Linked DNA regions of Styela clava. The protein of the gene in region 4 purifies or fractionates together with the protein of the main gene of each other region. This does not show direct contact. Links are inferred from orthologs where the notes say so. Each region holds a gene or a part of one and is shown on either strand. Other genes may lie near its edges.

Region 1 (7,710 bases), on a different chromosome or scaffold from region 4:
AACCGCGGCAACTCTTGCCATGGTTTTATAGCGCTATCCAGTAATCAGTATTAACGGTATATTCACAAATTAATGTACCAGATTTCAAATGGTCATGCGGAATAATATCTACTTAAAGTTAAACCCTACCCTAACCCTAAATTCATCAAAACTGTATCCATAAGAAAACGTTCCAACTTACCCAATTTTTGTCACCATAAGGAACAGCCCTGTCTTTACGGCCCACCTGCCGTGGTTATGGCAGCAAAATTTCACCTGCCATTGGTTTCCAATTTGCTGCCGCGGTAACGCCAGCCTGTCATTGGTTTGTGGCAGCTAAAAAGTCAGTCGCCATAGGTTTGGCCGTAGCGGCCATGGTATGGAAATATCGTCATGGTTTTGCGGCAGCTGCAGACCCCACAGAATACTTAAACCTGCACTTGGAAAGTCGAACCTGTAAACAGGTCAGCAGCTCATGAAATTAAGATTGAGTCACCGGGTACTATAAGAAGCCATACCAAGATGGAATATGGTACGCCGGATCACACTGTTCATGCAATGGCGCAGCTGACGCAAGCTTTACAGGGAGGAATGCTGAATGTAGCAAGCAAGGTTTATAAAGAACATCATGGTAACAAAACGATCCATAGGTACATTTCGTATCAAACAAGACAACAACATAATAACACAAGATAGCGACGTAAAAATATATGGACACGTGAGCATTTTGCCAATTTCCGAAAATAATACCACAGTCCATCGTTCGACATGAAAAACTTCCCACTTTTGCTAAGTAGTAGATCCATCGGCAAACGCCGAGCACGGAATCAGGTGGCGTGCGTTCGCAGAACGTTCGGTCACGTCATAGCAAAGAAAAAAAGAATTCCACAGAGCTAACAGAAATATATGAAATAAATAAAAGTCATGGCCTTCTAGATAGAATTCTCCAACCACTGAAAATTTTGAAGATATTGGTCCAGTAATCAAAGATAGAAGCGACTTTTTAAGTTTTCTACTAGGTGTCCAAAAATAATGCAAAACGATCGCTATATCCACTAACGTGTAACGATGCATAGGTCCACTTCGTGTCAAAAAATAAACATCAATGTGGACAGGATATTCCCAATATTCGAATCCAAAAACGTTCGAAGCAATGGCTGGTAATCACCAAAATTTTTTGTTGCGTTATATTCTCATATTAGTCCCTATTCATTGATAAATTCATAGTTTTGCCCCCGGGACCGGAAAAGTTCAAAAAAATCTTACCAAAATTTTAAATTTTTCCACAATTCTCAATATTCGAACCCAAATAAGTTCGAAAAATCGCAGGAAAGCACCAAAATTTTTTTGGCCCGTTGAGTTCTCATATTAGTCCTCTATTCATTGGTAAATTCATATTTTTGCCCCCGGGACCGGAAAAGTTCAAAAAAATCGGGTATCCCACCAATGTTTTCACAGGAAGCATCGCAGGAAAGCATCAAAATTTTTTTGTTGCGGTGGGTTCTCATATTAGTCCTTTATTCATTGGTAAATTCATATTTTTGCCCCCGGGACCGGAAAAGTTCAACAAAATCGTTGCACAATTCCCAATATTCGCACCCAAAAAAGTTCGAAAAATCGCAGGTAAGCACCAAAAATTTTTTGTCGCGGTGAGTTCTCATATTTGTCCTTTATTCAGTTGGTAATCCATATTTTTGCCCCCGGGACCAGAAAAGTTAAATAAAAAAAATCAATTTGTTTTTTTACCAAAATTTTCAATTCTTGCACAATTCCCAATATTCGAACCCAAAAAAGTTCGGAAAATCACAGGTAATCACTAAAATTTTTTGTCGTGTTAAATTCTTATATTAGTCCTCTATTTAGTGGTAAATTCATATTTACCATGAATCCACGATGAATATTGTAAAAATGTAAATATAACTTCTGTTCCTCATTTTACGATTCATGGCACACCCTGGTATGACACCCGGTAGAATGTTTAAAACATTTGGCTGGAATTTTGCTGGCATTGCAGTGGCGTAAAAACAAAAACAAATGTGATTTCATGTATGTACATTATTCTTCAATACTTTTTTTTTATTTGTCACTTTCTCTTGCTAATAGAACTTTTTTTCAATGGATGATGGTGTTGAATAATGCATATTTTCTGTACTGATGAACACATTTTGTTACCATGAAAACATTTACCGGTACTGCTATTTTATTGCTCCACGAGAATTATTTATTCATTCCCTGTTAATATTTATCAATTTTTGGTTGTTATGCTTTTCATTACACCCAGCTTAAGTAATTACTACCGGTAATTAGTTTTCACAACTTTTTCACTTTTGTGAGAGATTTTCGTTTTCCACTGTGTTATTAGTATTTGTTTTGATACTAACATTAAGTTTGATATCACGACCGCCATACTTACTTCCTTTGTTGTGTTTTCCATCACTAGTTCTTTTTGACAATTCACTTTCTATATTCTTCACTAGCGAATTATTCCACATGTTTTGTAAGCTGTTTTACACTGGTATCTGCAGGCAACACATTACAGCGTTATAAGAAGTGCTGTGACTGATCGTATTAACACGCATCGACCATATTTTGCCATCCCTAATCTGACATGCTTCGACTGTATTTTGCCATCCCTAATTTAACAAAATTAGACCGTATTTCGCCATCCCTGATATGACCTGTGCTACCAACCCCGCACAATTATTCTGATGAACTTGATTCATTATGCAAATATATATAAGGTAAATATGAGTACATCTGTTACCAAAATGAAGTGGAACTAATTCTTAAATTTTATTTTTATGCATTAATTAGAAGAGGGTAATGATACTTGGCATTACAGCATTATGGAACATATAATCTATGATGACACCAAATGGGATATGCAGATATATGAAGTACCCGCTATCATGTGGATACAACTGATCAATATAAATTATGGAAATTGTTATGTGTCATCTGTATGTAATGATTTATATTATTATTTTATTTATCATCAAAGAAAAAAGTACAATATAAGGGTTTCAAACTTGAAATTTTAAATTAATAGGCCTATTATAAAATAAAGTACTGTTTAAAAATTTATGAGCTGGAAAGGATAAATTTTCTTATTTGTGTGATGTATTGGAAATTTATAAATAATTAAAAAACAATTAGATGGTTGGAGCTGGAGCCACTGAAATTGTTGGTAGCTCCATCTAACATTTTAGGCTTGGCTCCAGCTCCACCAAAATGTCACAGCTCCCTGGATCCTCAGCCGGGTTTGAAACATAATGCCGCATTTAATTCAGATATTAGAATACAGATATTGAATATAGTTAAAATTGCCACTATGCCACGTTATGCTCAATTGGTGATGGGACCTGCTGGAAGTGGGAAAAGTACATACTGTTCAATGATGGTGGAGCATTTTTCGGTGCTAAAACGGAAATGTTATGTTGTAAACTTAGATCCTGCTGCAGAATATTTTGATTACCCTGTCGAACTGGATATCAGGGAACTTATTCATTTGGATGATGTGATGGAAGATGAAGAGTTACGATTTGGGCCTAATGGGGGCTTAGTATTTTGCATGGAGTATTTTGCTAAAAATATGGACTGGATTAAAGAATTCATAACAGACATGGAAGAGGATAGCTATTTTCTATTTGACTGCCCTGGTCAAATTGAACTATACACGCACTTACCTGTTATGAAAACTTTAGTAGAAAATTTACAAAATTGGGACTTTCGAACTTGTGGTGTATTTCTCGTTGATTCGCAATTTCTTGGAGAGCCAAGCAAATTCATATCAGGTACATTGTCTTCGCTATCCTGTATGATAAATCTTGAAATAACACATCTAAGTGTAATGACCAAAGTTGATCTTCTTTCAAAACATTCAAAGCGAGATCTTCAAAAATTTTTAGATCCTGAAATGCAAAATCTACTTTTAGCAGACATGTGTGATACATATCATGATAAAAAATATCAAAAACTTACAGAATCTCTTTGTCAAATTATTGACGATTACAGTATGGTCAGATTTCTTCCACTTGATAGATCTGATGAAGAATCCATTAATATAATACTTCAGCATATTGATACAGCTATGCAGTTTAGTGAAGACCAACCTGTTCGTGTAGAAGATTATAATGAAGATAATGAAAGGGATGCAGAAGACTAGGGTTGCTCCCTCTGCTGTCTATCCGGACGAAGCTGGGTATGAGTAATAAATAGGTCACGACCTTCCTGAACACATCCAAAATTGGGACCATCATCAAAAATCTGTGCACTATATTGTTTCACTTACAATTTCGAGGACAAATAATGGTTGATAACAAAGTAATATGGCGGCGAAAGAAGTACACGTCGTAAATGCTTGAATAAGCCAAACAGGTGGTGATATCATTTTGTCAGACCCATAATAAGCGCCTTTTTAGCGTTCTGATTTACTTGTTTTCAGAAGGCAGTGATACAATTTTATATCTTGGGTATATATGATGTTCCATCTTCGCTGAGTCTTTAAAATAGTGTGATTGTGTAACTTTTTCATAATATTTCTATATGTGAAAATTTTATAGAATGGAGTCTCAATTTCTGAGACATTTGAAATGAAATCTTGTGCTGAATGATCCTGTTCTATTGTGAGTTTATTTTATAGTCGTATATTGGAAAGTAATTTTCGCTTCTAGAAGTAGGAATGGCTCCATCGTTTTTTTTAATGCATAATTCTGTTCTTTACAGTATCTTATTTTGTATATTGGTTATCAAAAGGAAATGTGAATCTTTTGTGTTGCGAAATTGAACTTATATCTTGATTTTATCATCAAGATGCCATGTTTTGCATAAAAATCAGCTTCATCTTGTTGAAACTGACTAAATCATGTCTGTAATGGATTGTCTACATCTTTTTACTTTCACGCCATTGATTATATTTCTTGCATTTACATAATCATCAAGTTTTCATATTTTCTTGCAGATTTCATGCACTTTACTATGCTATGGCTTTGAACAAACACATGCACCCAAGGAATGGGTACAAAGATAATCCTCCAGATTTTATTGAACTATCGAAACAGTATCCTGAATTTAAACCATATGTCAAATACAATCCAAATGGAAAGGCATTTGTAAATTTCCGAATTCCGTCTGTTGTAAGAATATTAACAAAATGTTTATTACATAAGGACTTCGAACTTGATGTAGATCTTCCTTCAGATAGGCTTTCTCCTACAGTTCCATCTCGTTTAAATTATATTCTATGGATAGAAGATTTATTGAATGCTACTTCACAGGAATTTACCAAGCAAAGGCATATTGTGGATATCGGCACAGGGTCAGCCTGTATATATCCGTTACTGGGCATGAGAAATAACCCAGACTGGAAATTCACTGCAACTGAGATTGATAGTTTAAACTTCAAAAATGCTGTTAATAACATAGAAAAAAATTCACTAAAGTCATCGATAAAAGTTCTCAAAGTTGACAAAAGTGCTACAACTTCTTTGCTATTACATTTATTCCAAGATGCAAATGATGGATTTGATTTATGTATGTGCAATCCACCCTTTTTCAATGACTCAAGCGAAATAGAAACTAAAATCGGTCCCATTGCAAACTCATCATGTCACGCAAATGATGTTGAATCAATAACAGATGGTGGTGATCTTGCTTTTGCTCACAAACTTTTTGAAGAAAGTTTAGAATTAAAGCAAAAAGTTACTTGGTATACAATACTGATGGGAAAGAAAAGCAGCTTTGTTACATTCAAGAAGCAAATTTCTAAATACAGTGAAATTCTAGTTACAACATATGAATTTTGTCAAGGAAGAACTATCAGATGGGGCATTGGGTGGAGTTTTTGTTCTGATATGATTACAGAATCAAAATTGCCACGTTCTTCTCTACAAAACGCGACTAAAAACTCGGAAGTTGTTAAGCCAATTACGTTTTCTTTACGTAAAACATTAGAATTAAATTATGTGTATGACTCACTTAAAAGAGAACTCAGCATTTTAGGTATTTCATTCATGGAAATAGAAAATAACAAAAATCTTGTTATTTTAAAATTGCAATGTGAAAAATGTAATTGGGTTCATATCCGCCGACGATCACGGAAAAGAAAACTTGATGGCGTTTGTAATGGAGGTTCTGTCAAAAATCTAAATCTAATCGAGGAGTCACCTTTAACAAAAAATCATTCCGATTGCACATTACCAAATGGAGTTGCGTCAACCTTACTTCAATGTGAAGTTACAATTCTCAAAGATTTTTTCGATCATATCAAACTTCAATTTAAGACTGAAATTCGAATCCAAAAAGAAGTTATGAATACACTTGTAGTCTATCTAAAACGTATTTTACTCTCTGACATTACATAATAAAGATTTTTCAGTTCTGTTTATACTACCAGCTTTTTACATCGTTAATCTTTACTTAAAGCTGTTTTTAAATTTTTTATCTGCCCTGGTAATTTATTTTTTAATAATTCAGATTTTTTAAGATTCATGACTCTGATGTCATAGTATTTTTTAGGCAGGTATACTTTATGGTTACAGTAATTGGGGCGGTATTGACTTTAGGCCCAAATAATTTTTTCATGTAGCGAAGTCAATAAGATAAACCTGCTCAGTCAAACGGTCTCGTATCTAACAAATTTTGTGAAATTGATGTCATTTTTGAATAACTTGACCTGTTTCATTTTTCATTGATTACTGTCTGCCAACCAGCATGTAACACAAATGCAAGGACACATGAACCCCTTTTGGATATTACTCTGTACTCTTCATTTACAGACCTTACTCTAAAAGTTTGATATCATTGTTTCATCATTCCATAAGTTGTTTTATTAGATCATCGAAAATGTCGAATGAAAGCAGCCAATCTCTTGATTCTCCTGCCAACGAGGCAGTGATGGCTCGTCTTTTGGAATTGGAAAACCGAACAGGATATCGTAAGTTTTGTTGGTAATTTTAATGGAGATAAAATAATTTGAAACCAGGGCTGTTGAGCTTGTTTAAAATTACAATGAATGACCCCAGTTACAGAACCCCTTTATATTCTATCTGTGGCTCTGGCAAAGCTTTATTTTTTACCTCGAAGCTAGGCTTCTGCTCCATTACTTTTGTTGTTTATTGATTGATCGCAAGCATGATACATCAGCTCCTGGTTGTGGAATTTCAATATTATACTTTTATTTATTACTATTTTGGTTACAGATTAAAAATGATTGCTGTGTATATACTGTGCTAGTGCTATGTAAGTTTCCTTTGGAATAAATATAACAAATCCTATCCCATTGCATCATTTTTATCATAGGTATGCAACAATGCAATGGCCAAAGAAGATATTGGAATCCGAATTGGAGTGGACCTCCACCTGCTCGTGGAACCGAAGTTTTTGTGGGAAAGATTCCCAGAGATTTATTTGAAGATGAAATTGTTCCTGTATTTGAAAAGGTAATGTAGTAAGAATGAGTAGTATGTGGGGACATTTTCATGAAAAATCATGACTTCAAAATTGGTACCTCCGTAGTGTATGTACCAGGTTGGGGTTAGGCCATTATTTTATTCCGATATTCCTTATTTTAGTTATATTGCAACTTGCAAGTTTGTGGACTGTCTGTGTTAGCCAAGTGAATATACCCCCTGCCCTTATAGGTTTCAGTCCTATCATACAAGTTGATGTAAAGTAGGGGAATAAAATTATTTACCTCCATATTGGTACATACACTTCTGGAGCGCCCTAAAA
Region 2 (7,590 bases), on a different chromosome or scaffold from region 4:
GTTCAGATGATTCAAGATTCCATAATTTAATCACACCATCAGAAGAACTTGATGCCATGCAACATGTCTTTGGTTCTAATGATATCGTAGCTTGTGGATGAAATGCTATAGAACAGACGTTGATATTGTGTCCTGCAAAAGTAATTGAATAAAACAATATATAGACAACATTGATATAACAATACTTATATTCCATAGATATACGTGATTGGAATAGGTTATGCTTTACTTTTTTATTTTTTAAATCAATGCAGGAACTTTGTCAACCCCCTGGAACAACTCAACCGAACTGCAGGTTTCGATCAACCTTAGATTAAGAAACACTGCGCTTGAGAGACTCATCTTTTGAGTGCATCTTAGGCACTCTGTGGGCCATGCACTAATCAGACTAACTAGAATTTGAAACCCATTATTTTCAACTTGGGACGACAACCCAGTCAAGTTAGTATCTTGGACCCTAGGCCCATTAGGGATGACAAAAAACCCAAATTCCAAACATTGAATATTTTTCAAATGAAAAATAATTTTGAGAAGCAGCATATATACAGATATCAAATTCTAACTTTCTTACTTTTGTTGTCTGTAACATACAATTAAAAGAACAACAGTTACCATCACATACCTCTTAAAGTATTAATTTCCTCACAATCAGGAACTGACCACAGTTTACACAAACCACTCCATGACGTTGTTGCAAGTATTTTAGAATTAGGACTGAATTTACAAGAAGATATTGGCCTTGAATCACCGATTTGACTTCCGACACTGTTTACCGCCTATTAAAAAAGTAAATATATTTGATCATTTGTTCATCATATTTGTTAGCTTGTGGTACAGTTGGTCAATTATTCCAACACCTACCTAAGCTGATAACCAACTAAAATATGTGGTTTGAGTTTTACTCTCAGGTCTTGAAAACTGATTTGGCTTGGCAAAATCACAATGATTACGGAGCCACAGTATATTCAAACTGTGGGTTCAGCTCCGAGACCTCATTTTTTTTACCTCACAGGAGTCACAGCCACGCTATAAACTACTCATTTCAGTGCACAATATAAAATAATTCAATAATTCGACTTTTATGGAATATCAAGTCCAAGTCCTTATATAATTTTCTGTTCGAGTAACAGCTGATTTTGTCAATGAACATACTCGCATATGCCTGTGTATCTCTTGTACCCTTGCATGTTTTTGTGTTGTTGATTGCTCCTGTTGTTCTCTCGCTTTCTGCAACCTTGCCTTCGCCCTGAAACAATATATAATATATTTCAGTAAAAAATTTTCCAAAAATTGACAATATCAAAACTACAATAATATGCCATGGCCTAGTAGTTGACTTAACTGTGATACACATATTAGGTTCAAATCCCATCCCCACTGTAGGCAATGATGAACTGGAAAGACTTGGATCTCCACAAAAATAGTGGCTCTTCATATATCAGTGGCATCTTGAATAGGGCCTTGTTCAGGACAAACGGTTCGAATAAACGTATATTTTAAGTTTCAATTTATAATGAACTGGCACCACTAGTTTACACAGAAAGTATTTAATTTCTAATTTACTCTATATTTTTACTAAATTACCACTTTTATCAGGTTAGTTTATATTTTATCAGTGTGATCAATAATCATTACTCTCTTACTTGAGCAATACTACGTTATCCAATCTTTCCTTGAAAAATCAAAAAAGTTACCTTGGAATAGAAAAGTCAGCAATCCACATTCTTGCTGCCTTTAGACTTTCTGGACCTTCGTGATACCATGTTGTCTTAGCGAGCTAAAAGGAAGAATATTATAAGCCTCTTTACACATAATCCGTTCTTTCAATCACAATCTCTTAATCAGTTTAAACGTTACCTCTTCTTTTTCTTTCTGGGCCAACAATTGCTTCTCTGAAATTTTGTTTTTCTTTAAATTATCTTCACCAATGAGTCCAATAATCTCACGGAGACGTTCCCTCCTGTCCGCAGGACCTTCACCAAACAAGGTTATGGGTTCGCCGAATTCTCGAAGTTGTTTTCTCACCTATTTTAATCACATAATGTTGTCTAATAGCTATTATTCCAATTTTTAACACAAATTGGGCCTAAACAACAACTTGAAAAGATATTATTACTGGAATTATGCTACTATACTCGATAGTTGGGATGGAATTGTACGAAGCAGAAAATGCGGGTATAAGAATGTAAGTGTTAGCAGTTCCACAAAAAAGTTTTCGTATGAAAATCCTCTGACTAGGAATATACCCTATTAGTAAAAAATCATTACTTTTGTTTGTAAAGTTTTATTCCTAGTTAAATCTGATGAAGTTTGTTGACTAAAAAATAAAACATGACATTTGAATGAACAGTCAAAAATGGGGCTTTTTAATAATTTGTCTTTGAAGATCATAGTAAGGATATAAGGCTTCCTATGCATATTATTTATGAATGCATAGTTTTTTTGTTTACAAATTCTGTGAAGCTATTAATTTTATGTAAACAGAACATGGTCCAAGCCAAATTCAGTTTTGACTTGATTTGATTTCCACTAAAAAGGTAAATGTTTTGAAAAAAAAACTTATAATCTTAAGCATAGGAAGTTATAATATTGAATTCTCATAATGAAGAGTTATTTACTTAGATTTTGGGGATCCTTATTTATAATTTAATACTAAGTTTAAAATGTGTTGGGGTAGTCAATTTCAGGACGCTTAAGTCGATCCAATATAATAATACCTCTACGTCATCTGTTGTAACTTGGATTTGTCGTAGCTGTTTCTTTCTTTCAAATTCAGCAAGAATTTCTGCTTGTCGTTTATTTATTCTGTCTTCAATTGACATTTCCATGGTATCACCTGTTAAAAATTTCAATTGAATAGGAAGCAAAATTCTCAGTTGAAAACATAATAAATTATGTTGCGTAAAAAGTTAGAGTGACAGCTCAGTGGATAAAGCATTGCACTTAGATATGTTGAAACCACATATTTAAATAGTGGGTCCAAATTGAAGCAAAACCTACTTCCTAATTAAAATTCTGATGCAATGGAAGTTGATATTAGTATATCTGTATATCAATTTAGTTTTACCAAGATGTGGCCTCGTGTGTTGTGTACCCCAATATAAGTGACTGCTTGTATACAGCCTTATTCAGAGAGAAATGCATGTAAATTGTGTTCACAAAAAACTATAAAAATGCTGTAATACAGTGATAAAAGTAACGCAGAATTCATAACATATATTATCAATACTTACTCATGTTGGTGATATTAATATTTCCTGCTTTAATTCCAAGCTGAATTGCTTCTTCCCCAGACATACCGACTCTGTTTTCAATGCTTCCATATTGGACAGTCTTCCTAATCTTTCTTGGAGCTTCACCATCAGAATCGGAGTCAGACATCCTTCTGTCTTTTTTATTTGGAACAGTTTACTTATTCATGCATATATCCAGATAATAATCTGTTAAGTAAAATACTCTCTTAACTCCCAGTCAACTTCTGTGTTTACTGGTTTATAACAGTACCGTATAAGCACAAGGCGAAAACCAGATATCCCATACGATAGTACAGTAGTATCAATGACTGAATGGGCAAACAGGAAAATCTGTTTTACCACGGTACCTTCGAAATCGGCCGCGCCAAGATGATCCCCTACTCACGTTACAAATTAATACCAAACAAACAGAAAATCTTCACTGATTGATTATGAAAAGCCGGAAAAATAGGTATGAATGTATTTCAGAATATGGCTACGACACTTTCCCACATGCAGACGGGAATATTAGCAACAGTGGCCTCGAAAACTCTCCTAAACACTGAAAAACCGATTTCAACAAATGCGCATGGAATCCTAACACAGTCCCGGAAAAGAACAGAAAATTCATACTGATTGATTATGAACAACTATAGACGAAGATATGTAATCGTTTTCATGCTATAAATATACCAGTGCGAGGCATGCACGCTAACAAGTGATAGGATTGAATCGGTACGTTAGTCGTTGGATTGAATGGAACAACCGCATTAAAAACTAATTTCAACAGATGCCGCATTGTGGGCGGAGCCTAGAGTGAGACTATGCGGCGATTGGTCCAAATAATATTGTCTGACTGTCTGGCCGGTTAATGCTTGAGTCGGCACGGTATAAAGTTGTGCAATCTTCAGACCTTGCGGCATTTATTTGCGTTTGTATCACCGTGGGCAGGTGGGGAGCAATGTCTGGATGTTGGTTGTCTTCCAAATAATAAACAGTGGTGTGGATGAGTTCTTTTTAAAATGCCTCGACAATATATTTGAAAATAACGTCGGAACAATCAGAGACTGTGTTCTGGCAATCGAGTTAGTTCAGGATTTATTGTTGGCTTGCAGACTTCATCGCTGTCTTACTTAACCTGTTAACGGAAAAAGCTATTTAGGTGAGTCGTTATGCATGTAGTTTTTGATGTAGGCATACCAGTGAGAATTTGTACGATTGTAATCAAATATAGCTTTTGAAACATGAAATAACCCACAATACTGCAATATTGAAATAGAGACAATGCCTGAATGCACAACAGTGCTGCAGTGGGATGACTGCTGATTGCAACATAGAGCTTACAGACTTTAGGATGTATGATACGAACAGAGCAATGACAGTTATCAATAAAATTATTTTCATGGTTGAATGTATGACAGTAAATTCAGTAATTTGTTTATATATTCCTTTCTGAAATATCTTGTTTTTGAGGCATTTTGAAAGTAAATTATTTTTATGAGAATGTTGAAAATTGTTTTGATATAGACTTGGCCGTTTATTTGTGATATGTTTTAGAAATGAAAATAAACCATAATTGTGCTTTTCAGGTGATCCACAATGTCAACAAGTTTTTGTTTAAGGCCGCTGATTGGTCGACTGAAAGGAAGGAGTATATGTCCACGTTTTTTCTCACAAGAGTCATGTTCAAATCAAGAATTTATGCAGAATCGTTATAACGAACTGAGAGCTCTTATTTTTGATGACCATCAACAGATTTGCAATGTTAATCCTCGTGGACTTTTTGCCATTAATCAAATCAATTTGGGAGAAATAAAAGTTTATGGATTTGACTATGATTATACTCTCGCTCATTATTCTGATGACATGCAAACATTCATATATGACAGAGCAACTGAAATATTACACAAACAGTTCCATTTTCCCAAAGAGCTTTTGAACTACAAGTACGTTCCAGGGTTCTGCATTAGAGGTCTTCATTATGACATTCAACGCAGTTTACTCATGAAAATAGATGCTTGTCACGTCATTCAATTGGGTTCAGTGTACAGGTAAAACAATTTGAATATTACATATCACATGTTAATAACAAAGATAAGGATGACAGCGGTGCAGTGTGCAGGTCACGTATTTGCTGGTCCAATACAGATTCTTTCACCAGCCATAAAAAAAAATTATAAAAAAACGTTTCCACTTGTTCAGTGTCTTTAAAAGTTACGAATCATGAAGGTTTGAAAACTTGTCATCCAAGTATTAATTGACTTGCTCACCTATTTCGAGTTTGAGTGATCATGCTTGCAATATGATTAAGACGTCTACTTGGCTTTCCACTGCCCCAGGATAAATATGAAGATCCCATATCTGAACATAGAATTGATAGCATCCAGATGCTGTGAATGCATCGAATATTTGAATACATCTGAGATATATTTTATACAATAGAGAAAAGGCATTTTTTCATTTGACCAGCTGAGGCGGAAGTCAAGCCAGTAGTGGAAAAAATTAGCACAACTCTTTATTTTTGAAAATCAATACTCATATAAATTTTTTTAATATCTGTTCTTAACAGGGGGCTAAAACAGCTTAGTGAAGATGAAGTACTGTCTCTATTTAAAGGAAGTCGTCATATTCCAAAACGTATCATGGATGAATCTCTCTTTGGAGGAAATTCTCTCAGACAGTTGCTGGATATATTTTCAATGCCTGAAATGATGTTGCTCACCAATGTCGTAGAGTATTTTGTCCAAAATAATATAACTTATGACCCACAGATTTTATTTGAGAGTGTGCAAGCAGCTGTCAAGCAAGTTCATGTTGGAGGTATGTTTTAGTTTATAGTAGATCTGAATATACCTGAATTGAAGCTCGACGACTATACATAAATCAAGTTATTAATTTTGTAACCCGAAATCATGAATCAGGATATAATTCTTTTCGAGGCTTTGGTGAAATTCCCTATATAATTCATTAATGACTATTATGTATTATACCTAATCTCTGATGTTAAGTCACCTGTTCATTAATTTTCAAGTACTGGATATAGTTCTGCATGATTTTCACACCTAATAGTCTAATACTGATCATCATTTGTAATTGATTAAGTTTAGAAGGTATTGATGATGTGAGAATGATTCTTTCATTTTTAACAATAGTAACCTTTTGAACCTAACATTAAATGCTGATTATTCATTAACCTGACTGTGCCTCTGAAACTTTAAATCTGATTCCAAATAGATATAAAACAACACCTGGTTGACTAAAATTGTAACTATGACAACTGTTCCAGGAAGTACAAAAAACAAATTGTACCCAACCCCACGATACCAATCTTCAGCCATGAAGATCTGTTCGAACTGGGGGGAATTAATGTGTGCCGGAGTATCCCATAATGTATATAACACTGTCCTCTGAAATTGCCTGATTGCAAAGTAAAACAACATTTGTTGACAGAATTTAGTATGGTGCATTGATATGTAGATATCAGTAAATGCTGTCAAGTCTTACAGCTATATCAATTTCAATTTTTTTCACATTAATGACCTGTAGACGTTGCATCATTATTGCAAATGCTTTACAGTGAGTAAAATTGGGTTTTGAAAAATGGTTGTTAGCCTAAAACCCATTTTTTCTCACTTCACATTGTCATTATTTGTTATGTCATCTGAATCAGCAAAAAATTCCTTGCAGCGTTGCAGGCTTGCCCGCACCATCACTACTATGGCTCTGAAATTGAAGCTCTGGTGTTAACCAACAAATCATTATTCTTTTTCAGGCCATCTTTTTCAAGAAGTTTATGGTAATGTGGATAAGTATCTTAAAAAGAATAGTTTAACTCATCTGATTGATCACTTAACATCAAATGGAAGAAAGTTATTTCTCATTACCAACAGTAACTTGCAATTTGTTAATGTTGGAATGAAGCATCTTATTGGGAAAGATTGGAGAGATGCATTTGATGTTATTATCGTTGAAGCAAAAAAGCCAGGATTCTTCCAAAATTACAAGAGGCCATTTAAAAAGATTATAGAATCATCTAGAAACGGTAACAATGGAGATAATAACCATACTGTATCATGGGAGAGGGTACATGAATTCACCAAAGGCAATGTATATTATGGAGGTTGTATACAGGACTTGATGCAAATATCTGGATGGAGTGGACATGAGGTAAGACTGCATTGTGTGATGACCTAGAGCAGGGGTGTGCAACAGGCGGCCCGCGTGCCATAACCCGGCCCCTGTCAACACTCAGATTTCCCCAATCAAGCATAAAATCCGAATCCGAGAGTATGTTTAGAAGGCACTCACTTGTATAAAAATATATACGGTAATGTTTTTCGCTCTCTTGTCGCTGCGT
Region 3 (8,303 bases), on a different chromosome or scaffold from region 4:
GACTAACGAGGACTGAAAAGCACGATTTTACTAAAAAATCCAATTAAGATCACCCAGAAAATAGCAGATGTAGTTGGCACAATTTGAATGATAAAACAAAATGCTTGGGATAAAAAAAAAAAACTGTGGCAGTGATGACAAAAATATTTCAACCACCCAAGATCCTCAAAATATCCTGTCATAACTTGGATCTGTGGGCTGCTGTTTAGTAACAGCACCAGCTGCTGGGTGGTGCCTTTGATTATTTTTCATATGCGGATTTGGTCTACGTGGCGGAGCAAGATATTCAAACATTGATGTCTTATGCTGAGACAACATGCTTGTCAAGTCACAAGGGAGAGGTTCCGTCCAAAAAAAATCATGATTTAATGCATTATCAGAGTCTATCCTATTCTTCGGATCAAGCCAAAGCAGTTTATCAATCAAGTCCAATGCATATTGATCTTTCACATATGCTTTTAAACGCTCCTTCACTCTTCTTTTCGAGCCCTGTGAAGAATAGTACAAAATTGGAAGTAAAAACCACACTATTTACAATTTGAAAATGATGGAGTAAACTTACCTTCGGCAACTCAAACTTTTTATACAAGTCATATTTTTCTACAGAAGGCCACACTTGAGGAGAAATTGATCCACAAAGCTGGCATATAAATTTAAGTTGTGTTTGCTCTGTGTCACCCTGTGACAAAGAAATTACAGTACATTGACCAGTCAGTTTTTATTGGTAATTGTGCTAAATTTTATTCAGAATAATGCATTCAGATTCATGAGAATGTGGCTTATTACATGAGAGTCTGTGACATATTATGATTTGGAATCAAAGTTGAAAATTTTTAATATGGATGACACATACTTGCATGATAGGACTCCTTGTCCACATCTCTGCCATGATGCAACCAGCTCCCCATAAATCAATAGACGGACCATAGTCCCTTTCACCAAGAAGAAGTTCAGGAGGTCGATACCATAATGTAACTACCCTATTCGTATACCGATTGACTTGCCCAACTTTCGTGAAGCTAAAAGCTCTGTATTTGTAAAAAAACAAGGTATGAGTGCACTTCAAATTTACTTATTTTGAAAGAAAATGAATTTCATGTCGCATTTCTCGTTTCACAGCGGTATTTATTGACAACTTTGCTAACATCAAAATATCTCCGAACAATGCTGAAAAGATACTCCAATATAAAAACGAATAAAAAGAATTCAGTTCATATCTTTGTGGTCACCACCACACAATTATCTTAAATGTTAAACATCACCCTATTTAACAATGAACTTCTTTCCAGTGCTCCTATTTTTCTTGCCTGAGCCTCTACTGAAAATTGTATTTTAACGAAAATCGATACCTTGCAAGACCAAAATCGGCCAATTTTAAGACTCCAGTCTTTGTAATCAAAATATTTGCAGCTTTCATATCACGGTGTAATATTTTATTGCGGTGGATGTAGAACAATCCTTCCAGTAATTGCTGCATAATCTAAACAATTGAATACGCTGTGCTATAAGTTAGGAAGGAAAGAGCATTCAAGCAATTGACCATTAAATTTTCAAATTGTGAAAATGCCATTAATATCAACAGCATGCCCGTGAGTGCGCAAATGTGTGATGTCTTTATGATACCAACTTCCATTTTCTCACAGGTTGTGAACCCCTACTCTTAAACATAAACGCACTAGCGGTCTGGCGCAGAAGCATACATTAAGTGATTAGTCATGCAAAATGATTCTGAGCTCTGACCACTAGAGGGAATCGTCGAAATAATCTGAACCTAATGTAAAATTGTCACTGTTGCTAATTTTTGCTCTCTTGTTTCATATGTTAGCCTGAGATCAAATCGAGGTTGGCTAGTTTAGAATTTATATCCTATTTGATACCTGTTCATATCTCCTAGTGTCAATATTAATGATAGGAATAGTAAAATGAAATAAGTAATTAAAAATAAAATCGAGCATCTCAAATCAAGATGCTATCTTTATATTCAACTGAATTAAGCACTGTACGGGAAATAATTTCCCACATATACAGTCTCTGAGAACAATAATAAAACCTATTTCACTCCTAATTAACGATAACTTACATTTTACCTTTTTAATTTCCCCAAGTGTAAACTTCACAGTTGCATTGCTCAATAATCCTGCTAAGTCATGATCACACAACTCAAACACAAGATATATTGATCCTTTATACCTAAAAATTATTGAAATATGGTAATTATGGTTAAAATTATCACATGCAAATACCACAAAGTGTTTTAGATGTGATAAACATACAATATCTTATATTTATATACTGTATTATCTCAATTTGCACTATTGGTATGTTACTAACAAGGTCGAGAAAAAATCAAAATACAAACTAACCTGTTATACTGAGTAGGCTTTGCACGACATATTTCAATTAAATCCACCACACTTTCATGTTTTAATTGCTGCAGAATTTTAATCTCCCTCAGTGCTGTTATCGGAAACTGAGATAAGATTTATAACTATTTAGGGTAAGATCAAATTTGTTGGTTTTTACAAAAATATATAATACACAGAAGTCTCACAAAAATGCGTTGCCATGCTATTGAAAATGACTGATAGTTGCTTGGCTGCTATCACAATATTCATTTCTCAGATGATAGTCCTCAGTTTTCAGAATTTAGTATTATAGTTAGGTTAGAAAATCAGCAATCTCTGACCGATGTCTATGAACTAGCCCAAGATGCAATACACTTTTAAAATAATACCAGCTGTTACAATCAGAAATGGGCTTCTATAAATGTATATATAATGTTAACATTCTTCTTACTCCTTCTTTTTCATTCTCCATAATCACTTTTTTCAGTGCCACATACCGTCCAGTCTTTTTATCTTTTGCTTTGAATACTTCCCTGTATGTATAAAACTTTATCATTCATATCATAATTAGTTCATTTTTTGTTTCACAAATATTTCAGCTTAATATTTACACAGTACCAGACTCCACAACTCTGCTCCAGCTGATCACCAGACCAACTGTTACCATGAGAGAGTAGAAAGAATAATTAATACGCTTTGTTAACAGTGCATGAATACGTTATTAGGATAACGAACAATGGCTTTAAAAAATTAAACATACCCAAAAGTCCCTTGTCCAATTTTTGTGATTCTTTCATATTTGGCAACATCGTGGCATAATGGAAAGTCCAAACTGGCTTCTTTGCTCATGGCCAAATACTCAATTTGAAATCAATTGTTAATTGAAGTAGTAAGTAAAAATACTAGATAAATATTTTACAAAAAACATTGAAAACTGATGGTACTGATCAAAATTTGACTAATAGTAACAAAATCTGTTGCATCAGAAAATTTTTGTAAAAAAGCAATCAACCATCACACAGCAGCACAGTGACATAGCTATGAAATATGTTCAAATTCTGTTCTACAGAATGTCTTTTATTAAATATCAACTTATAAATGCTCTTTATGTACGATTGTAAAACAAAACATTTTGCATGTCTTTGTAAACAAACTTAAGTGTATCTTCGTCGATGACAGATAAAATAATTGGTTTTACATGCAAGATGTTATCAGAACGAGTCTGTATGTTGATGAAACAAACAATTTGATGCATTTTAACAGCTTGTTTCATGGTAATGTCATTAATTAGAATCTTCGGAAAAAATTCATAAACTTTTCGCCCAGTAAAATAAGTCCGAGTAATCTGTAAGCCATATCTTCTGATGAGCAAAATATTCTCTTCAATCAGGTATGCAAAATGTAAATATGCAGATACAGCAACAACAACAATCAACCAGAGTATTGGTATAAATTTACTTGGCATATACCAGAACATATATACCACAGACATCAATAACCATGGCAATAAACCAACAAATAAGTAAGACATTGTATTTCCATTAGGAGTGTAATTCAAAATACAAGAACAACTGACAGGTTCACCAGTTGAAGATGAAACTTTTGTATGGTACAACTTTGCCGTTTTCCCAGCAACTGTTAAGCAGTTACGCTCTGAGTAGGAAGTGCAAAACATTTTAAATAAATTCTATATAAACGAGTGATACAGGAAAAAATGAAAGAATCAGAATAATTTTGACTACATACAGACATAGACCTTCTCCGGGATATTCTAACCCCAGAAATTTTCTCTGCATAGAAACACAAAGTCTCTTGACAGCATATATGGTTTACTAGGGTGACCATACGTCAGTATGTCCTCCTTTTTCGTTGAAAATTTTACGTCCTCCGAGAATGCTCTAAAAAGTCCTCATTTCTCACTAGATTAAAAATTTAAAATGCTCTTATGATATAATTAAAATTTTTTGATGTGTTACAAAAATTTTAAAGTTGAAACTTGTAAATATCAATACACATACGGCACACGTGATGTGTTGAGATAGCATGCGAGATACCTTTAAGTCAGTGTTTATACCCTGGGAACGATCGAACCACTGGGGTTCAGTGGAACTGTTTCATGGGTTCGCCAAAGTTCTTCTAGAACAGTAGTTAACTTATATATAATAAATTCCAGGTCTAGTATAGTACCACAAGTACTTCCGGTGTGTAACGAATTTTGTATATGTTATTCCTAACCCCAACCTGACTATGTCATCCATAAATTACGTCACAATCACATCATAGAGCTTGCCAAGTATTGCTACCATCGTTCGAAATGGCATCTGCGCCGACGATACCGAACTCACTAACGCCAGCGGTCTCTCTCATATCGGGATCGTTGCAACGAGAAAAATAGCTTGCTGGATCTCGAGTGATTGTCTGCGCGTTTCGGACAACCATCCGCACTTTTTAGCGGTATTTATTATGCCACTGTGGACTCGTAGTGACGTAATTATTTGAATGATTTAGGAATGACATATGCAAAAATTGTTGAGCCAGGCCAACTAGAAGTGCATGTGTTATACCAGACCCATAAAATCCTTATAGTACCCATCTTACTAACTAATAAAAATATCAATAGTTCATCAAAGATAGGATAGGACTTACATATTTATCCCAGGGGAGAGGAAAGTCGATGATACGGCTTATCCATATAGCAAACCACGGCCTCTCGTCAGGTTACGGTACCATTCCGAGTCGGGTATGGGATATCAGGATATATACCGTACTGGTACAATCTTAAATCATGTTTAAACAACTCGTAAAATAGCTTAACCGGGTGTATATGTTTTACTGGACATGTTAATGACTGTTACCGGTAGCCTACTACTAACTAGGCGCGGCGGTGTGGCTCAACGGGCTAAGCGTTAGGAATACGCTCGCCACCGCACCTCTGATTACTCTGCGTGGGTTCGCAGGTTCGAATCCCATGCAGGGATGGTTATGTGCGAGAGGATTGCTGGACTCCTCGCCGTCGTTGGGTGGTTCACGTAACCGCTGGTCGGTTACGGCTTCTTCCACCACCAAGTCCATGCTTCCGAAAACAAACAATACAGTAAAGCTAATCCCATACCGGTACCCGACTTGGAATGGTAACCGGACGAGAGGCCGTGGTTCGCCATATGGATAAGCCGTCTTATCGGCTTTCCTCTCCCCCGGGATAAATATATAAATCCTATCCTATCCTATTAAATGAATCTTTGTATACCAACTCTACGCCCCACTCTTTGGAAGTTGATCTATACAGCTATACTGTACCGGTACCGGTACGGTATGCCTTCTACAATCCTCCTAGGCAGCGAGACGAGGCCGTTTACCTTTCAGATTCGTAGCGCACATAAGGGAACTACCGGTACTTGGGAATAATTTTAAAATGTTTCTAGGAAATTTAGTAACAAATAATAATTTGTTCCCATTTCCAAAAGTTGCACGTTTTACGAAAAAGGCGCTTTCACTAGGAGAAATATGTGATCCTCTCTGTCTGTCCAATGACATTAAACAACATGATAGGCAACTCTGACGTCACTCCATAAGACTACAGGCGAAACATTATATTTCATGATACGCTCCAATGCACATATTTCTCGTCGCCTTTCGCGTCCGTTTTCCGCTCGCTTTTGCTACTCGGCGTCTTTTTTACGTGTAGTACCTGCCTTTTTGCGCCTGTAACGAAACAAAATAATTTCTATATCTAAGAAGTTTTGCTTACTTGGAAAGCTGGAATAACAGGGAAGCTGTAAAGAGCAATTCTGGACATCATAGACGTTTTTTTTTTATCAGAGAAGATTACAAACGCGATAGCGGAAAGATTTGTGTGGAACATTTTGCAAATAATGACAAAGTTCAAAGTTAGTAATTTTATTGTTTGCGCTTAATCATTGAAATTTCATTTAAAGAGGGTGTCATACAAAACTGTGCTGCGATACAATTCCATAACACAAGGTTTGCACCTATCGAACTTGCTTTTGTAGGTGAATTTATTAGACATATTACATATTCAGTTAATCGTAGGTAACATTGCTGGTACATAATGCATCGTAGATAGGTTTGTTTAAATTTAGGAATTTAGCTCATAGCCCACTAATTAATATTATCTTCTATGCAGGAGGTTGCAGGGCTGAATTCAACTTGCAGCCTTACCGATCACCTGACGATGCTCATTTAGTTTGGCTCGAGCAAGTCTTCTTGAAATGCTTGTGTGGATGGAAACTACCTATATTTTTTGTCTTCCTCCGATTTTAGACAAATTTATTCTGAGGAATTTCGCATATAATTCTCACTGATTGTTGGCTGTTTATAATTCCTATTGATTGTGAATTCTGATTATAACAATGAATTGAAAATTTTTTTGCCTAATTTACTGGCACCTTTTTCTTGTCAATACTCCAAGCTGAGGTAATAAACATGACAATACATTTATGTCATCTGGAAGCAAAATATGCACACTAATTAATAGTTTGGCACATTGAGATAATACATCATGACAGAAAATACAAGTTAAAGATATGTATGACCATCACATGGTAATTAAAATTAAAAAAACTAATAGGGGCTGTGGAGTATGAAAAGTTCAAGACAAAGAAAAGAACAAATGTTCATAGCTCATGAACTCTCAATTTTGCCTCCATGGCTTTGTGAAGGCCAATATATTTCGAGTGGCTGAATTGGTTTACCTTTATGACAGCAACGATTTTGTATTTAATATAGCGAGATTATTTCAATTTAATTGAAGTGATATAATTTCCCAAAGCAATGCTTGAATCGTCTAGAATAGATCAGTGGTGTCAAACTCATGGGTTTTTGAGAGCCGCATTGCATTTTGAAAATTGTAAAAAGAGCCGCAAACAGTTTTTGATAATGTATACTTAAAAGATATTTTTAAGATAGTTTTAGTTTGTGACATATATTGTGATGCAACTAAACAGTTGGATTAAGTTTTATTATTTTCTTCAATTTCAAATGCAATTACATATTAATATTTGCATTCCACTATTATTGCAACATTTGCAAGTTACAGTATTTATTATAAAAAATCGTAAAATTCTATGTACAACCATCAAAATCATTTTTGAACAAGTTTTGAATAAGGAAAGAATAATACATACACTAAAAATAACTTAATCCAAATATATGAACCTAAAATTAACAAAAATACTACAGTATAAACTCAATGTTTTAATAATTACATTTGTCCTGGCGTTTGGCATCTTTTTTGTGTCACCAGCATACTAAGGCCAGTTCGAAATGATTTTATAGTACCAACTCTAACTAACGAGGCCACATGATCATGGGTTTATCTGGATCTTTACGAATGTTTAATTAATTCCAGTAATGCAAAAAAGTTACTTTTATCATTTCATGTATAGATCAGTAAAAAACAAATGACAGATTTTTTCGACAAGACATTTCGCACTACATTGCGTGGCATAGGATTGCTTGAATTATTATTGATATTGATTTTTAGTAACTAAGTCGTTGTATAATTATATTAATATACAAACACATGGAAATTTTCTGTTCGAAGTTGGTCTTCGAATTTGTCATATTGACTGCTGAGCTTATTGTGTTTTTTGATTGTATTGATGAAAATATGACAAATTAAACAATGTGCTTCAGAATTTTGTGAAGAGCAGAAATGTTACAACTCCCATTTCTTCGAAAATGCCACCTTCTTCATGTACTTTGCGTTTAATTTAATTACTCAAGTGTTTTATTCAAGTATTCTTTTGCTAGCTTGATGTGTATTCTTAATTGGGTCAAAATGTGGACAAAAAAAATTAATATTCCAAAACTAATTTCAGTAAATTGTTTTCTGTGTGAATAATCAATTTCACTTTAGAAGGTTTGAAAAATCTATTACATTAAGATAAAAAAAAAAACTTCCAAAATACTATTACAATTATTGTTAAGCGTTCGAGG
Region 4 (8,358 bases):
AACAGCATTGAGAGCACGGCAGACATTTTCATCCATCATTGAATTGAGATTTAAAGGATCTGCTATATTACCACCCAACAAGAACTTATTAGGAAGGATGATTCTTCCACCGGCGTTCAATTGCCTTTTGTGATGATTATGATGATTGCAATTTCCTCTGCGACGTTTCCCGTTTTGATGATTGCAGCTGCTACCTATAAAGTTAAAGATATCTTTTTTAAACATGTATCCTCATTATCTCAAGTCTATCAGTTTTCTATCCCTGAGCAAAGAAATAGTCAATTCCGCATATTCTGCTACAGATCCAAAGTACCACTAATACAATTTGAAAGATAGTCTGTTGTCTGTCTATTTCAAATCACTGAGATATAAGAAATGTTACATAAAAAACAACAAAGCTTATACAAATACATAAGTAGGGGTGGGCAAAATCAAATAGCTTTTTCGAATCAAACAATTCGAATATTTTTTTTTCGAATAACGAATATTTTTAATACACAATAGGAATCCAGAACGTCAGAGGTCCATACTCCCTTTTAAAATTAAATAATGTAAACATTGCAAATTCAATGACAACGTTGATTTTATACTGGTTAATTTTGACATAACCGCTGATTATATTTATCCCGTTTGATTTAACGACCGAAAACGTAAATTTGATAAGATATATTCCAGCCATTTCTCTTTTTAGTATTAATTCTTTTTATATTTTGAATATTTATACGATGTATATAATATTTATACGTGTGTTCATATTGATGACAGATTGAGGTGTTATTTCAGGACCTGATTAATTTTATTATGATCATTCGTGTCGGCTTTGACCTCCCTATCACTGTGCGTGATTGCCACCAGGTAAACTCATGTTGATAATAAATGAAGCACAACCGGTGTTAGCACAAAACGATGTAATTTGCCGACGTTTCGAATTTCTATACAGAAAAACTTCATCAGGGCATGATATCGAAAGGACACACTGTTTGTAAATTAACTGTCCTAGTTTTAAGATAACAATGTTATCATTATCGACACCGGATTGCAGATATTTATGAGGACGATAATTGACTGATGTATGCTTTTCTATGATGTCTGTCTTATTTTTGTATCAAATAGATAACTCTGCAAAGCTGTGATACTAGAATCCTGAATGTTGCTTTGATTTAAAATAGTAAATAATAGGGATTTCTATGTGGTCATTGGGCGAGATGAAGTTATTACCGGTAAGTGCTTTTGTGTCTATTGAGGGTTAAGATCATTATTACAGCTAAAATCGTTACCAAGAAATTCACAATTTTATTTACGAAATTTGAAAATTCAACAATTAACTAGCCTATTTCGATTAGGTCACGCCCTAAATATTACTGCACAAAAGCTTCAAAATGTAGAAATAATGTATCATTTACGATGATGATAGGCTGGGCGCAACAAGTCGTAAACGAGCCAATGGGCATTGTTACAAGAATATTCAAGATTCATTACATCGTCTCCTATTGTTTACAATTTTACCACCATGCATGGCCAAGTGAATGTTTACATTTTCAAAACATTACTTTGTAAGGGAGGAATAGATCACTGAAAATACATGCCAAGCTAATAGAAAGTCAATTTAGAGGGATATGGCCTTATCTAGGCTAGAAGTGATGCTTTTTAAAAATCTGAGTTGCCATTTTCAAATTGATGCTATTTATATAACTCACATCTTCTGATGACCTAAATTTCCTTTTCCGACATGCATGGTCTCTTGAGAATGTCATTTTAACATTTTATTAGCAAAATAAACGATTGAAAATGATACAATTGCGAAAAAAGAAAGCAAAAAACATCTCAACGCAAAGATATTGAATTTGTGATTATACAAATTTGTCGTTTCTGTCTGTTTGTGAAAGCCGTGGGTAAATTCTCGTACAATTCCAGGCCATCGATTTTGCAACATGAGAGTTCCTTGTCCCAAGCAAAGTGATGGTACACATGGTACATGAATAGTAAAGTGCCATTCGAACATCATAATATAAGATTTGCTATTTGAATACTTTGACCAGTCCTATACACACTTATGAAATATTTTTATTTCTTTATCTGATTGATATAAGCATGTTTATAAAAATTGTCTTACCCATATTAGAATGTTCATTAAAACTGTTCCTTCTCTTGCGTCTTCTTGCTCTACCTCTATTTCCCGCCTGATGAATTTGATTAACATTTTCCTCACTTTCAACAAATTCAGGGGCACTTGAAAAATTTATGCCATTGTCATTTTTCAGAAAGTCTTCTTCATTTGTGATAATGGTATCAGTATTGGACAATTGTAAAATGCACCTTCCTTCTGATGAAGGAGATAATGTTTGCACAGTTGCCATTGCTAATTGAAACGATCAGTCGTTTTATGAAGTTCTGTTATACCAGTATACAGAGTATTTTTGGATGCAGATCTAGAATATATTCTGATTAGGATGAGATGCACTAGTCAATAGTGTCTCTAAGTTCGCACAGTAAAGACAAATTTATGTTATTTGTCTAAAATGATGGTCTTTATTTTTGCAGACTGTAAATTCATTAATGAAGTTTGTGATACAAAATGATTCATGATGCATGTAATTGAAAGATAATGGATAGAAGCTAGAACCTGTAAAAAAACAATATTGAGCACTTTTATTTTTTGCTAGTTTGTTCTTAGTTCCCCGGAATTTCCCAGATGTGCATAGTCAAATAGGCCTATTAAATAATATCGAATTATATGCAACCCTTCCATGTTTTCAAACAATAAAATACCAAAAATGAATAAGAGCTGGATCATTTCAAATGGACTAACTAAAAAACATTTATGATTTTTATGGATCCTCCCTGGCTTTGTTCTTCATAGAATGACCATAGGCCTATATCTAAATTTATTAGACAGATATTTGATGAAAGTGAATGAAAATAAAAATAACAAGATTAATTTTTGATTAATTGAACTAGCAAACAGACATATAATTAAACTGTTTTCCACACATAATTTCTTATCAACTTAATAATTCCAATTTTTGCTATGTGATAGGTCAATGATGTGCCAAGCATTAAACTAACCTAAGCACCATTAACACATGTAAATCATTGCGAGGCAATATTCCTTGATTTGGCCATTGTTTACGTGATATTGCAATCGCATGATTGACGGCGCAATCGGCCAAACAGATGTGTGAAGTAAATCTCGTTCCAGTGTGGTCGTGACCAGGGCCACGCCCCTCCAATTCCTCTCTCGAAAATGTAAGCGCCTGATTACAGTTACAAATCGCCTATCTGATCTGTATTATGAAAAAAAAACTTATATAGAGAGCCCGAAGCGTATACTCACAATTATGGAACCGCTTGTGCAGATAAACCTCTCCATTGATACAACATTAATTAAACGAACGAAAACACTCCCTCAACTGCTAACGCTGACACAACCGAACGCACCCAGGCAACCCGCCGTAATGAGATGTTGAAGTCGTACATGCGTTTTTAACCGATGTATCACGTGACTACAGTCAGTCGAGCGAACGTAATCTCTACGTTTTGACGCGGCGACGTTTCCTTGACGTTTCAAAACCGATTTTAACTTGTTTGTTGGACACAAAATGGGCCAATGGATCGTTTTGTTATTATGATGTTGTTGGTAGTGTTCTTTTTTATGTTGTCCTAAATTTTCAGTGAGTTGAAGATTGTCGTTATCGCTAAAACACTATTACTTTTATTTATTTTATTTGAGTGAGCGAACACGTAATACTTCTTTTATCAATACCTTCCCACCTAAAATAACCTTACTTGAGTTTTCGTTTGCTTTCCCGATTCTATAATCAGTTTTATTTATTTAGTTTTTATCAATTATTTTATCGTCTATTGCTGATTATGGAGTCGGAATAAACTTATACTTACTTATATTTCTAAATGTACCGGTATTGTTAAATTACGGGGGTTGGGTGTAGTGTATTTCCATAGCGATCGACGGATAGGATTTACATACCGTGTTTCCCCGAAAATAAGACAGTGTCTTATTTCATTTTTTTTTGAAAAATAACACTAGGGCTTATTTTCGGGGGATATCGTTAATTTTCATTTATCAAAAACAAAATTTCAAAGTAGAAAATTACTATTTTTTTATTTCGTCAAAAAGCATAACATGTCGGTATAAGAAGGCAATGGTAACCTAAAATTTGCGCTTTCGCGTTAGCAAACTCATCCACCATCTTCGTCATATCAATTTGGGTCGAGCGTTCAGATTCAATACTCAGCAGCGCCAGTTCACAGAGCCTTTCCTGCGACATCGCGCTCCTGAGATAATTTTTTATTAATTTCTGTTTCGAAAACGAACTCTCGGCAGTTGAGGTAGTTACGGGCAACGTTAGAATGATCACCAAGGCTGTACAAATATCAGAAAAACTCAAATCTTTTCTCTTTGTTTGTTTTGTGTAATATGATACGAAAACCCCCCTTTTTTTCCGCTGTGTATTCTTCGGGAAAGGCCCTCGGGGTCGACACGGGCCTGCGTCTATTATAATTTTTTTGATTTGTGCGTTGATTTCAACGCCAATGAAGTTTCCCATGTCCGATGGATACTGGCATTGTGTCAGCTTCGTTAGCGAATCGTCATCTAAGAATTAAGTTTTGGTCGTTTTTACACCAAATTATGCAACTTTTTCAATTTGCTTCAAAAATCAGTAGCTTACCTGTGATAATTGTCGTGTAAGTTTTGGAAGAAAATTCATTCGCGCCGGCGCCATCACTTTGATCACTGAAAATTTCAAGGCAATTGATACTGTTATTAAACGACCCCAAAACGCTCCAAAGTTGCAAAATTTTGTTTATTAGCATGTTTATTAGCATCGAACCCTTTTCATCAGTAGCGCTTGCAGCAGCTTGCTCCAAAGCTGCGTTGGTGGGTGTCAATATTTTATTCAATATATCTTCATCATATTTATGCATTAAAAACGCTAAAATTGGCAATGGTATGTAATATCTATCAAACCTATACATTTAAACTTATGTACGGCATTTTTCGATTTTCTGTAATCTTCTTGTCATAAGTGTAACGTCATTATACCCTTTAGTAGCAGTTCAATACCTTGTTAAGGATACATACCGGTATATCCAGAGGCTCTTGTTGTACTCGTAAGACGTAAAAGATCTAACTAAAGTCTATAAAAAGGGTGAGACAAGTGATTTGGATATTGTTCTCGGTGACATCATAAAAGGTATTAATTTTGTTCAGTCGCATATTCCAAGAAGCACAGAATATTTTCAGAAATTAGCAAAGACATTAAAGCAAATGATTTGAGGCTTACGCCGAAGTGCGCTGGTTATCGAAAGGAAAAATTTTGAAATGAGTTTTCTCGATTGCGATCTGTCTGTTTTCCTAACCCAAATTAGACATTCGATGGCCGTTAGTTTTCAAGATATCTTTTGATCAGCAATATTTGAAATCACAATTCAGCTGTGTTTTATTTTTAAAACTAATAGCAAGATTCCGACTCATAAAATGAAATTGAAGTTGTAGCAATTATTTTATTTGTCTTTTAAAAAAACAATTAACAATAAAGTTGATAATCTTCGTCATCGTATAAAATATATATATCGAGGATTCGGAATAATAACAAAACGTCGGGGTCTGTGACGAAACGTGTAGATATAGACAGAGTTGATGAATCGTAATATTTTGTGAGAAAGCAATAGATCCTCTGAGAATTGGTGAGAATATTTCGAAATATTAATATTTATTTTGTCAATTTCAGCTCGGTGTTAAAATATTGTAGATTTCTCTGTTGATTCAAAAGTAAAATAATACAAAAGTTTGAAATAGAAAAACCATGTAATGAGTCTCAACTTTTGTGTGATTACTTATGAAGTTATGATTTTTGATATATTGAGTGATTATACATGTTTACCAATGAAAACGTTTGTTATTTTCTTTGCGGAGCAGAATGCTTCTCAAAATTGATGAGTGCATTTTTTGTTATAGGAAGTTGATATGGGTTTGTTTCTAAAGACAGTGCCGGAGTTCTACGTGTCAGTAACAAATCCAAAACAAAATTAATCATGAGGTCATCAAATATTTACTCAATGAAAAACAAACACTTCAGTAGGGTTGTGCCGGAAGTTTGCAAAAATTGCCTCTATCAAACTCGAAATCAGAAATCAATCAATGCCAAGTTCTAAAACTTGCACAATTTAACACCTGCGACAGTGCTTAAAATAAATTCCAAAAAAAAAAAAAATTATTAGTCTTGCTTGGTTTATAAATGAAAATATACTTTTTCTTGGTACCAAACGTAGTTCTATGAAGAACATTTACAGGTGAATAGTTTAAAAATATACTCGACGTTTTGTACAAAGGAAATTTGAATGGAGGAGGGCATGTTTCACATGTTTTCTTATTTTAAGGTCCAATTATTTTGTTGTCTAAATACGACGATACTTATGTAACAATGTTTTATTCGGACGATGTGAACCGAAACAATTTCTCGACTTTTAGACTTTAGAAATTTGCTAGAATCATGGAACGATTTCGCGATTGATCGGAAGGGAAAAGTGTGATTCCTCGTCGGACGAGACGCCAACGGACAATCAATACCCCATTTTTAAGATCTTAACGACAGAAACAAATTATATAACATACTCATATAACTTTGTATTTTATTCAACCAAACAGTAATATAGGCAGAAAATGTCGAAATAACAAAATTTCCGGTAGACCGGCAGTAATCTGCGGTTGGGAATCACTGTTTTCTACGACACGGCAAGTCAAAGTTATTGCAAAAAATCTAAAAGACATTAGTAAGGTCCGGTTCGATTGAACAATGGGTGTTTTTGTTCCGTACTATGCTTCTTTTCTTGGGTTAAAAATAGATACAGTTCTCGGGTGATATTTTAATTTAGTTTTAAAGATAATGGGAAGCATGTCAAAAAAAATTTCACATTCATTCTATGTGACATTGTGGAATAACGTATTCAAGTGCTGTTTAATCCACATCCTCGCCGATTCGTTATCTGTGGCCCGCGTCACATTCGGAGAGTAATAAAAAAAACGCATTCCGTGTTGTTTTGTAATAAAATTAATCAGAAAATCTTTTGACATATTGTTACATCACTAATGTCATTAAACTGACTAGTGTTATGGCTAGCTGAGGTAACTAGCAAAGTTGAGTGATGCGCTTGGCAGTCTAAATTATTATCTGGCTTTCTATCTTTTTGGCCGGGAATATATGCTTACGATGTAGGCATCATAGAAAACTAAAAATAGAATGTAGATTCTATTAGCCTGGGATGGCTATGTCTGATAGCTATGTGTTTGCACAATAAAAGCATTCGTTTTGTATTGCACTGTTTACCTATTCTTGGCACTATTGTGGCCCGCGAACAATGCAAAAATGATTTTGTGACCCGCGGAGCCGACAACCTTGGACCACCCTGAACTAGAGTATACACGGTGATCTACAATATATTTTTAATGAGATAAATACCGCGAACATGATCGCTTCACGCAAAAAATAATTTCAACCTCAGTTCTCTAACTTATTTTATTTTTAAAAACAATCTGAATCAGATTAAAAAGCTTAATATAACGGAAATATCGGTCTACATTTAGCCGATACCTATACACTACCGATACCAAAAATTTGGCTGATATTTCCCATACCCGATACCGATACAACCGTACATCTCTCGTCAATTGTACATATAACAAGCATATTGACGTGCTGCAGCTCAACTTCGAAGCTATTTTACGGTTGTTGAATATCAGAATCTTGGTTCTCCAATATGGCCCGTCCAGCCATTCGCAAGTGCAGAGGTTGCTAATGCCCACCTCACTGGCGAACTGCTTGAACTACGATCAGATCCGGTACAAAATGCAGAGTACAAAACGAATAAAAACTACAACGAATTTGGGCAGCACTACTAGAAGTTCCCAAGTATCGCAATCAATTGCACAAAACGCTTTCACCGTTTTCGTACGAATGTCATACATTTACAAACAAATGTTTTCTGCAATCATTGAAATTTAACCCCCAAAAAAATTCAATCAAGGTAGTCGATACACTAATGAGAGGGGCACTGGAAACAAGATTATAATCTCGCTCTGTACAACTAGATGATGTATTCCAAGAACAACGTTCACATTAACTAAATGATGAACTATTACGTCGACATAAACATATATATATATAACTTCTAAACATTATTTACGTATTAAAAATGTAGGATGGGCGGGGTGTACCAGATTTTAAGAAAGAGTGAAAAGGATGTACCACTCCAAAAAAGGTTGACGAGCACTGGTCTATTCAGATCAATCTTCCCTAATATTTACTACTAGTTGCATTGTCGACCAGCAAAACATTTTCC

Evidence for each region. The genes of interacting proteins can lie anywhere in the genome.
Region 1: the proteins of 7SK snRNA methylphosphate capping enzyme-like (region 4) and RNA N(6)-adenosine-methyltransferase METTL16-like purify together in Homo sapiens (affinity purification with mass spectrometry; 3 studies listed by BioGRID). This does not show direct contact. The link is inferred for Styela clava from reciprocal best matches to the Homo sapiens genes MEPCE and METTL16.
Region 2: the proteins of 7SK snRNA methylphosphate capping enzyme-like (region 4) and U4/U6 small nuclear ribonucleoprotein Prp4-like purify together in Homo sapiens (affinity purification with mass spectrometry; 4 studies listed by BioGRID and IntAct, with this or other methods). This does not show direct contact. The link is inferred for Styela clava from reciprocal best matches to the Homo sapiens genes MEPCE and PRPF4.
Region 3: the proteins of 7SK snRNA methylphosphate capping enzyme-like (region 4) and cyclin-dependent kinase 9-like purify together in Homo sapiens (affinity purification with mass spectrometry; 10 studies listed by BioGRID and IntAct, counting the BioPlex papers as one, with this or other methods). This does not show direct contact. The link is inferred for Styela clava from reciprocal best matches to the Homo sapiens genes MEPCE and CDK9.

The regions. Positions count from the first base shown.
Region 1 is NC_135263.1:14,653,764-14,661,473, forward strand, and holds RNA N(6)-adenosine-methyltransferase METTL16-like, read left to right. Parts: upstream 1-4,956; 5' UTR 4,957-4,961; coding exon 4,962-6,341; 3' UTR 6,342-6,756; downstream 6,757-7,710. Other genes in the region: GPN-loop GTPase 3-like, read left to right, coding at 3,311-4,144; uncharacterized protein LOC120340733, read left to right, coding at 6,823-6,913, 7,279-7,418. UniProt on the Homo sapiens protein: RNA N6-methyltransferase that methylates adenosine residues at the N(6) position of a subset of RNAs and is involved in S-adenosyl-L-methionine homeostasis by regulating expression of MAT2A transcripts.
Region 2 is NC_135254.1:14,595,590-14,603,179, forward strand, and holds the start of U4/U6 small nuclear ribonucleoprotein Prp4-like, read right to left. Parts: upstream 3,455-7,590; 5' UTR 3,382-3,454; coding exon 3,234-3,381; intron 2,837-3,233; coding exon 2,718-2,836; intron 2,026-2,717; coding exon 1,858-2,025; intron 1,778-1,857; coding exon 1,695-1,777; intron 1,247-1,694; coding exon 1,153-1,246; intron 777-1,152; coding exon 623-776; intron 133-622; coding exon 1-132. Other genes in the region: 5'-nucleotidase domain-containing protein 3-like, read left to right, coding at 4,833-5,284, 5,803-6,053, 7,006-7,400. UniProt on the Homo sapiens protein: Plays a role in pre-mRNA splicing as component of the U4/U6-U5 tri-snRNP complex that is involved in spliceosome assembly, and as component of the precatalytic spliceosome (spliceosome B complex).
Region 3 is NC_135257.1:5,451,396-5,459,698, forward strand, and holds the start of cyclin-dependent kinase 9-like, read right to left. Parts: upstream 3,455-8,303; 5' UTR 3,195-3,454; coding exon 3,106-3,194; intron 2,879-3,105; coding exon 2,797-2,878; intron 2,471-2,796; coding exon 2,364-2,470; intron 2,191-2,363; coding exon 2,088-2,190; intron 1,481-2,087; coding exon 1,350-1,480; intron 1,029-1,349; coding exon 854-1,028; intron 680-853; coding exon 563-679; intron 490-562; coding exon 166-489; 3' UTR 1-165. UniProt on the Homo sapiens protein: Protein kinase involved in the regulation of transcription.
Region 4 is NC_135252.1:268,192-276,549, forward strand, and holds the start of 7SK snRNA methylphosphate capping enzyme-like, read right to left. Parts: upstream 3,355-8,358; 5' UTR 3,335-3,354; intron 2,624-3,334; 5' UTR 2,358-2,623; coding exon 2,114-2,357; intron 195-2,113; coding exon 1-194. UniProt on the Homo sapiens protein: S-adenosyl-L-methionine-dependent methyltransferase that adds a methylphosphate cap at the 5'-end of 7SK snRNA (7SK RNA), leading to stabilize it.